Macaca fascicularis: one gene and its partner. The protein of the gene in region 1 interacts with the protein of each later gene in a pairwise test. Links are inferred from orthologs where the notes say so. Each region holds a gene or a part of one and is shown on either strand. Other genes may lie near its edges. The genes, in order: HPRT1 and ISCU.

Region 1 (3,814 bases):
AAAAGTCTAAATTTTGTGTTTAAACAAGTCTTTAACTCAAGCAAGACTTTAACAAGTTAAAAGGAGCTTATGGGTAGGAAGTAATGTTATGATGTATGGGCATAAAGGGTTTTAATGAGATAGGGAAAATGTCTATAATAATACTTAAATGGCTGCCCAATCACCTACAGGACTGATGTAAACATGGAAAAGGTCAAAAACTTGGGTCACTCAAATAGATGATTAATGGAGAGGATGAGGTTGAAGGTTAAATGTAGATAAGTGGTCTTACTCTCAATAAAAATGTGAACATAAGGCGAGTTTCTACAAAGATGGACAAGACTCATTCATGAAACAGCAAAAGCTGGACATTTGTTCTCATCTTTGAAGAGTATGAAAAATTCCTATTTTAAAGGAAAATAGTAACTCACAGGAAATACCAACCCAACATAAAATCAGAAACAATAGTCTAAAGTAATAAAAATCAAACATCTGCACTATCAAATTATGAATGAAATTCACTTGTAAAGATCACACTGATTTTGTTTCATCCACAGTGTCAACGTTGTGATGCATTTCAATTGTGTGACACAGGCAGAGTGACTGTGGATCAAAAGCAGTTTCTGGTATACCCATACTCTCTCGGGTATACCTGCACTCCCCTTTCTTAAGTGTGTTTAAAAAAAAAAGTGGTTTCTTCAATTTGCCAATGCTCTAGCTCTCCATGTGCTTTCTAGGAAACAAGTGTTGACCCACCTTATTTGTCAAACCTAGCTCCAAAGGACTTTTGACTCCCCCCAAACCAATGTAGCTCAAGAGATGATATCTGCCACTAGTGAGTATGTATAGTGAAAACAGCATCCCAAGTCCCAACAGCAATTCCTAAAAGAAGTTTATTAAAAAAAAAAAAATACCTGTAAAATAAGTACATATCCTCCAAGGTGACTAATTTTAAAAAGACAGTATTGGCTTTGATGTAAACTACTAGTGAATATGTTAGAAAAATCTCACTGTAACCAAGTGAAATGAATGCCAGTATAGTTTGCAGAGATTCAAAGAAAATATAAGAAAACCTACTGTTACCATTAAAAAGAATCATATATTAAATATACTCACACAATAGCTCTTCAGTCTGATAAAATCTACAGTCATAGGAATGGATCTATCACTATTTCTATTCAGTGCTTTGATGTAATCCAGCAGGTCAGCAAAGAATTTATAGCCCCCCTTGAGCACACAGAGGGCTACAATGTGATGGCCTCCCATCTCCTTCATCACATCTCGAGCAAGACGTTCAGTCCTACAGAAATAAAATCGGGAATTTAATAGAAAGTTTCATACGTTAAACTTTATAACAAACACCTCTTAGTCACTAAACTTCCACACCAGCCTGGAAATTAGCCAGGCATGGTAGTATGTACTTGCAGTCCCAGCTACTCGAGAGGTGAGGTGGGAAAATCACTTTATTGCAGGATGTTGAGGCTGGAGTGAACTGTGATTGTGCCACTGCATTCTAGCCTGGACAACAAAGCAAGACCTTGTCTCAAAAAAATGCATTAAAAATTTTTAAAAATCTTCCAAGTAACACATCCTTTGCCCCCATGTTTCATAAGGTAAAAAATTTGATACCTTCAAAAAAACCAAGCATACCACTATCATAATTTTTTTTTAATGCATATAAAAACAAGATATAATTTTCACCCATTAGACTGGCAGGTTCTGATTAAATGAAATTTCTTGGATAATATACAATATTAAAAGAGACTGTAGAAACCGGGCCAGTGGCTCACGCCTATAATCCCAGCACTTTGGGAGGCTGAGGTGGGCCAGATCACTTGAACCCAGGAGTTCAAGACCAGCCTGGGTAACAAGGCGAACCCTATTTCTACAAAATAAAAATAGTAGCTGGCAGTGGTGGCGCACACCTATAGTCCCAGCTACTCAGGAGGCTGAGGTGGGAGGATCGCTTGAACCCAGGAGGTTGGGACTGCAGTGAGCTGTGATCATTCTGCTACACTCCAGCCTGGGCAACAGAGACCTTGTCTTTAAAAAAAAAAAAAAAAAAGGCCGGGCGCGGTGGCTCAAGCCTGTAATCCCAGCACTTTGGGAGGCCGAGACGGGCGGATCACGAGGTCAGGAGTTCGAGACCATCCTGGCTAACACGGTGAAACCCCGTCTCTACTAAAAAATACAAAAAACTAGCCGGGCGAGGTGGCGGGCGCCTGTAGTCCCGGCTACTCGGGAGGCTGAGGCAGGAGAATGGCGTAAAAACCCGGGAGGCGGAGCTTGCAGTGAGCTGAGATCCGGCCACTGCACTCCAGCGAGACTCCGTCTCAAAAAAAAAAAAAAAAAAAAAGAGACAAATTGTGAGGAAAAAGGCACTCTCATATAACATCAGGAGTATAAAATGATTCAGTTTCTTAGAGGATAATTTGGCAATACCGAAATATTCAATAAACTCTTTCCCCCTGACCAGAATTTCCACTTGAATAAAGCTGAACAAATACCAAACATGTAAAAGAATGTTTCTTCTAGTACAGTTTGTAAGAACAAGATAGTGTCTATCAATAGTGAACTGGTTAAATCAGTTATGGTATCTCCATAAGATGGAATGCTATGCAACCTTTAAAATATATTAGATAGCTCTAGATGCACTGATATTAAAAGTGTCCAATAACATTTAAAACTATACTCATATGTTAAAATATAAATATATATATGCATAGTTAGAATATTTTGTAACACAAATATTTTGATATTATAATTTTAAAATAAAAACACAGAATAGCCAGACATACAAGGCAAGCATTCAATACCAGGTAAGGTTTTTCACTGTAATTGACTTAACGGAAAATTTTCAAGCTAGATGTGCATAATAATAAAAATCTGACTTTGCCTTCATGTGATTCAGCCCCAGCCCATTATCCTGTTTAGAACTGAGAAATGCAAGACTCTGGCTAGAGTTCCTTCTTCCATCTCCCTTCAATGTTTACTTTGTTCTGGTCCCTACAGAGTCCCACTATACCACAACTGATACTAAGTAATTAGTAAGGCCCTCCTCTCTTTTTTTAATAAAGAATATTTTAACAATAGAAAGCATCTATTATTTAATAAGTTGGCCTAGTTTATGTTCAAATAGCAAGTACTCAGTTGCTGACATTTGAAATTAACATAAGAAAAAGTAAAAAACCTCATTTTAAGATCTTACTTACCTGTCCATAATTAGTCCATGAGGAATAAACACCCTTTCCAAATCCTCAGCATAATGATTAGGTATGCAGAATAAATCAAGGTCATAACCTGGTTCATCATCACTAATCTGAAAAAGAAATATAGCTGTTTCAATGAGAGCATTATGGGATACAAACATTTGATTGGATTTAGATGTTAAAAAATAACCTTAGTCTATCAGAGAAATTTGAATATAAGATGGTATTAGTAACTGTTAACTTTGTAGGTATTATAATGAATTATATAAGAAAACAACAGGCCAGGCGCGTTGGTTCACACCTGTAATCCCAGCACTTTGGGAGGCTGAGGCAGGCAGACTGCCTGAGCTCAGGAGTTCGAGACCAGCCTTGGCAACATGGCAAAATCCCATCTTTACTAAAAATACAAAAAACTTAGCCGGGTGTGGTGACACATGCCTGTAGTACCAGCTACTTGGGAGGCTGAGGCAGGAGAATCACTTGAACCTGGGAGATGAAGGTTGCAGTGAGCCAAGAATAATGCACCACTTCACTCCAGCCTGGGAAACAGAGCAAGACTCTGTCTCAAAAACAAACAAACAAACAAACAAAAAACAGGCCGGGCACAGTGGCTCAGGTCTGTAATC
Region 2 (4,601 bases), on another chromosome or scaffold:
AGTCTCTCAATCTCCAGCTGGTTCTTCTCCTCCTCTTCGTCATATTCCCACTCGTACTCCCCGGGGGAGCTCTCCGCGGAGGAAGCCATGGCGTACTCATCCCCATCGCTCTCGCTCACGCCTTCCTCCTGCTGATCCCACCCTGGCCCCACGGTCTTGTATGTCGCAGCGGCCACAGCCCGCGATAACACCTTCCTTCTTGTCCTCGCCGCCTTAACCTCATCCTCCTCTCCGTCAGCCTTGGGCCCAGCCTTGGACTCAGCCTCGGGTTCTGAAGCCGAGGTTGCGGCCGCAGTCGCCATCTTGCGCTTCTAATGACTCTCGGGTCTTCCCGCGGCCGCCGAAGACCCGCTGAGGCAGAAGCTGCCCGCGGCGCGCGCCTTATCAAAAGCCCGTTTTCTTGACACTGAAAGGGAAACTGGGAACCTTAGATAACGAGAAAATCTCCAAATACACTAAATTCATTTTATTTTATACCCCTGTAAAAACTCCCACCAGAGAAAAAACTCATTATCATGGCATACGTTCCGTCACAACTTCGGACAGAAGTTGGGTCTTTGGGCAGGAAGTGGAGGCCATAGAGGAAGTCATGAAGCGAGCGTGGTGTCTGTAGTAAAGAATTTGGCGCCATCTTGAGAAGGTCAAAGTGATTCTTAGAAAAAATACCTTACTTATCGCCTAGTGTGACCTGGCGCTTGGGTTTAGTCTCCCCAGCAACTGCACCTCAAACGCAAAGAAAACTGCAGGTCCTCGGGGAAGGATCGATTTCACCATTCAAGAGAAAAATCCATTTCCCAAAGAAATTCTTCCCCTTTATGTAAACATCTGGTACCTAGGAGGCGTTAAATACACTTGAGTTTTCCGGTTTTATAAGCTCACATACTGCAAACCAACAGTAAATACGCATTTCTTTAGAAATTCTTAATTGCTAGGCACCGACATATAAATTGAATTTGCTGTTGTTTCAGAGAGAAAAATAGACATATACTCATTTTTTTTCAATCAGGACATGGTGTTCGTTTCCTTCTTAAGCTTCCCATTGTTGAGGTAGGCAAGTACTGGAGTGTGTCTCTATCTCTACCTTGCTCCCTCATTAGCAAGCTTAATGGGCAGGAATTACGTCTGTTTTGCTTTCTGTTGGATCCCCGGGTCTAGTAGAGTGCCTTGACACATAGTAGGTACTCAACACAGATGCTGGCTTCATGATGAAGGAATTGTCCTCGAATTAATACAAAAAGGAAGATTCAGACTTAGCAAGCCGGTACCATTTGTCTAGGGACACACAGCCAGGAAGGAACCGAACCAGGATTCTAACCCAGGACTACCCAAGTTCGAATTCTAGTTGAACCTAAGCCCTAAGCGACCTTGGACGGAGTGACCAAACTGCCCTGAATCTCAGCTTCCTTAGCTGCAAAATAGGGTTAGGAAAAGTGGACTCAGTGGTCCTCTGCGCCGCATTCCCACACTGCAGAAGCCTGAGATCCTCTCTCAACCAGAATCCAGCACCCAGGACAAGCCCTCTAGCGACTTCAGACCTTCCCGCTCCCGACCCCGCCCGCCCCCGAGAGGCGTGGTCAAGGCGGGGCCACAGGGCGGAGGCTTGCACGGAACGGTAAGGCGCAGGCGCAAAGCCTCGGTGACGCCAGAGAGGCGCGCTCCCAGCTCGGCGCCGACTCGCAGACGCGCCCCGCCCCTCGGCATCGCTCTGGACTGGCGCAGGCGCAAGCCGGCAAGATGGCGGCAGCTGGAGCTGGCCGTCTGAGGCGGGCAGCGTCGGCTCTGCTGCTCCGGAGCCCCCGCCTGCCCGCCCGGGAGCTATCGGCCCCGGCCCGACTCTATCACAAGAAGGTAGGGACAAACGAGGGGACACGCGGAATGCCGACTCGGGGGAGGCCTGGGCTGGAGCGGCGGCCGCGGGGTTCTACGCAGCCAGGACTAGCTGTCGCCTCCCACGTCTTTGCCCTGACTCACTTTCCCTTGCTGCGCAGTGAGGCTCACTGCAACTGATAAACAACAGTTACCGCTCATCGGGCTGCGACTTCCAGGGGGCCCCGCCGCTGGCCGCGACTTCGTGCGTCCCAACTTTAAATTCGCCAACAGCCCAGGAGGCAGGGTCCTGTTGGGACTTGTCTTTTAGAGTCCAGGGACAGACACACCCCCGGAGCGGGCTCCGGCTTCAGCCACGCTGCTGCCCTGGCTAGATGACCTTGCGCTAGTCACTGCGCCTCTCTGAACTTGTTTCCCCAGGTGTAAATGAGGACTCTCAGCTGTCTCTTACAAAGGATACTGTGCATGGAGTCCTGTCATGGTTCCTGGCACATAGGCCCCAGCACGAGGAGACCGTTTCTGTTACTGCTTTAGGAGTGCATAGGGGAGTCAGGCTTGTAACCAACATGCGTAGTGTTTTTGTTTTGTTTTGGGGGTTTTTTTTTGGCGGGGAAGGAGGGATAGATGCATAGTTTGCAGCCCCTTGCTGTCTGGTGACGCAAAGTCCCCCAGACGTGAGACTCCCACTCTAGAAACAAAGAATGCCATAAATCAACGTGGCACAAAAAGTCCCTCCGTTAGATACTATCCTATAGGGGCCTTTACTTGGAGTCAAAATCCTTAGTCAGATGGGGAGGAAAAGGGGACTGGAAGATCGGGGTGCTTACTACTAACCAGTAACCACATTAAGGCCTTCTGTGTGCCAGTTCGAATGGATGTTGATTCTGATCTGGCCTCTGCCCTTTCTCCAAGGGCTTCTTCACTCCTCCCCCTCCCGGCGGTGTGTTTCGTTGAGGGTACACCCCGAGGAAACTTGGACTAGCAGCCTTTCAGCAGCCAGGGTGCGCTGCTGCACCAGGGTGATGACAGGCTCTGAAATACGGTAATGGCACTGTTTTTATTTTGAAAGACACATAAACGTACACATTCCATAGCATTGTTCTCTGTGTAACAGTCACCTTAAGGCTTCTAAAAGTTTTCCCTTCCTGGGCCATAGTTATTTTTAGAATTTTTAAATAGTAATCATCCTTTGAGGATAGTTTTTATTTGAAAATAACAAAACTGCTGTTTGAGCCCAAGTCTGGTGATGTAGGTGGGTAAAAGTCAAGTATTTTTGTAAAAACCCTATGGAATTAAGACATGATTTCACTGATATTTTTTTCTTCTAGGTGTCGCTAATCTGTGAAGTAGTTGTAGAGGAGACACAAAAGGAATTGGGGGTCACAAATGGTTCTCACTGACATGAGTGTAGACCTTTCTACTCAGGTGAAATTTGGTGATTGCCTGCCAGGTTCAAGATGCTGACTTCCAGGAGCTTGCCACCATACCAGAGACCAGCACCAATAGAGAGTGAACACGATTTATCTTAACCCTCTCATTTTAGGTTGTTGATCATTATGAAAATCCTAGAAACGTGGGGTCCCTTGACAAGACATCTAAAAATGTTGGAACTGGACTGGTGGGGGCTCCAGCATGTGGTGACGTAATGAAATTACAGGTATGGCTAGTCTTTAATAGTGATAACAATAATCCCTTTAAGTTTACAAAGCACTTGCACATACAGCATTTCACTCGGTCTCCATCTTTATTCCTGTGAGATGGGATGAGTCCATGTTAGACGTGATTGGAACAGGGCCTCAATCGTAGCTCTCCTGCCAGGCTAGTGTACTATGCCGACTTTTTCCGAAATAGAAAAGTAATCTCATTTTTGTACTCACTGTATAAGTTTAAATTCCAACTTCAGCCAACGAAAGAGTTTTGTGAATTTTACTGATCAAAGGAAAATCCCAGTGAGCTAGCAGTCCCCAATGAGATAAGAAACACAGTAAATTAAACCTGTCCCCAGATTGGGAGCAACATGAAGATAGTGTCTAGTGCTTTGGGTAAACTGTTGTTGTAGCGCCAATCTGCTGCTTCATGGTGAGTGGGCAGCTTGCCAGAGATCTTCATACCTATCTTGGAATACAGAAACAAAACAGGAGGAAACCACTAAGTATAATCTGCTGCCCAAGAAAAAAGTATTAACCAGAGACCTTTATTGTGTACTCTCTCAGTGTTTAAGAGGCAGATTGCCCCAGCAGCTGTGAGCAGACTGCCTCAAATAGAAGTTCATAGCCAAAATGCAAGCCAGAGTCGCAAAACAAAATAATATTGGGGTGGAGGAACATATTTTCCAGCTGATCTTTGTCAGTTGGGCCTGGATAATTGTCCCTGCATTTCACTTTTCATCACTGAGCTCTCTGAAACAAGGCAAAATCAGTAATTAATACCATCACTTAGTATGGAAAGCAAGCCCAAAGCCCTTGGGGAAGGCCCCAATGAACCTTCGTGAGTGCCAAGTTCCAGAGGGTGGTCCTAGGACTCACCACTTAACTCTTGTCTCTTTTCTAGATTCAAGTGGATGAAAAGGGGAAAATTGTGGATGCTAGGTTTAAAACATTTGGCTGTGGTTCTGCAATTGCCTCCAGCTCATTAGCCACTGAATGGGTGAAAGGAAAGACGGTAAGGTTGCTCACAAATCTGACAGAATGAAATTGCATTCACCCCAAGCCTGTCTCTTGACGGGTCTAATGGGTCAAAAACAACCATAACTTTTTTTTAATATTCTGAATTTT

What was found.
Region 2: the proteins of HPRT1 (region 1) and ISCU interact in binary tests that used the Homo sapiens proteins (3 or more experiments, as listed by UniProt). The two-hybrid records come from large-scale screens. The link is inferred for Macaca fascicularis from reciprocal best matches to the Homo sapiens genes HPRT1 and ISCU.

Annotation. Positions count from the first base shown.
Region 1 is NC_088395.1:140,745,463-140,749,276, reverse strand, and holds part of HPRT1 (hypoxanthine-guanine phosphoribosyltransferase), read right to left. Parts: intron 3,299-3,814; coding exon 3,192-3,298; intron 1,280-3,191; coding exon 1,096-1,279; intron 1-1,095. UniProt on the Homo sapiens protein: Converts guanine to guanosine monophosphate, and hypoxanthine to inosine monophosphate. Transfers the 5-phosphoribosyl group from 5-phosphoribosylpyrophosphate onto the purine.
Region 2 is NC_088385.1:115,394,939-115,399,539, forward strand, and holds the start of ISCU (iron-sulfur cluster assembly enzyme ISCU), read left to right. Parts: upstream 1-1,707; 5' UTR 1,708-1,734; coding exon 1,735-1,848; intron 1,849-2,739; exon of another isoform or gene 2,740-3,370; coding exon 3,371-3,484; intron 3,485-4,377; coding exon 4,378-4,488; intron 4,489-4,601. Other genes in the region: SART3 (squamous cell carcinoma antigen recognized by T-cells 3), read right to left, coding at 1-302.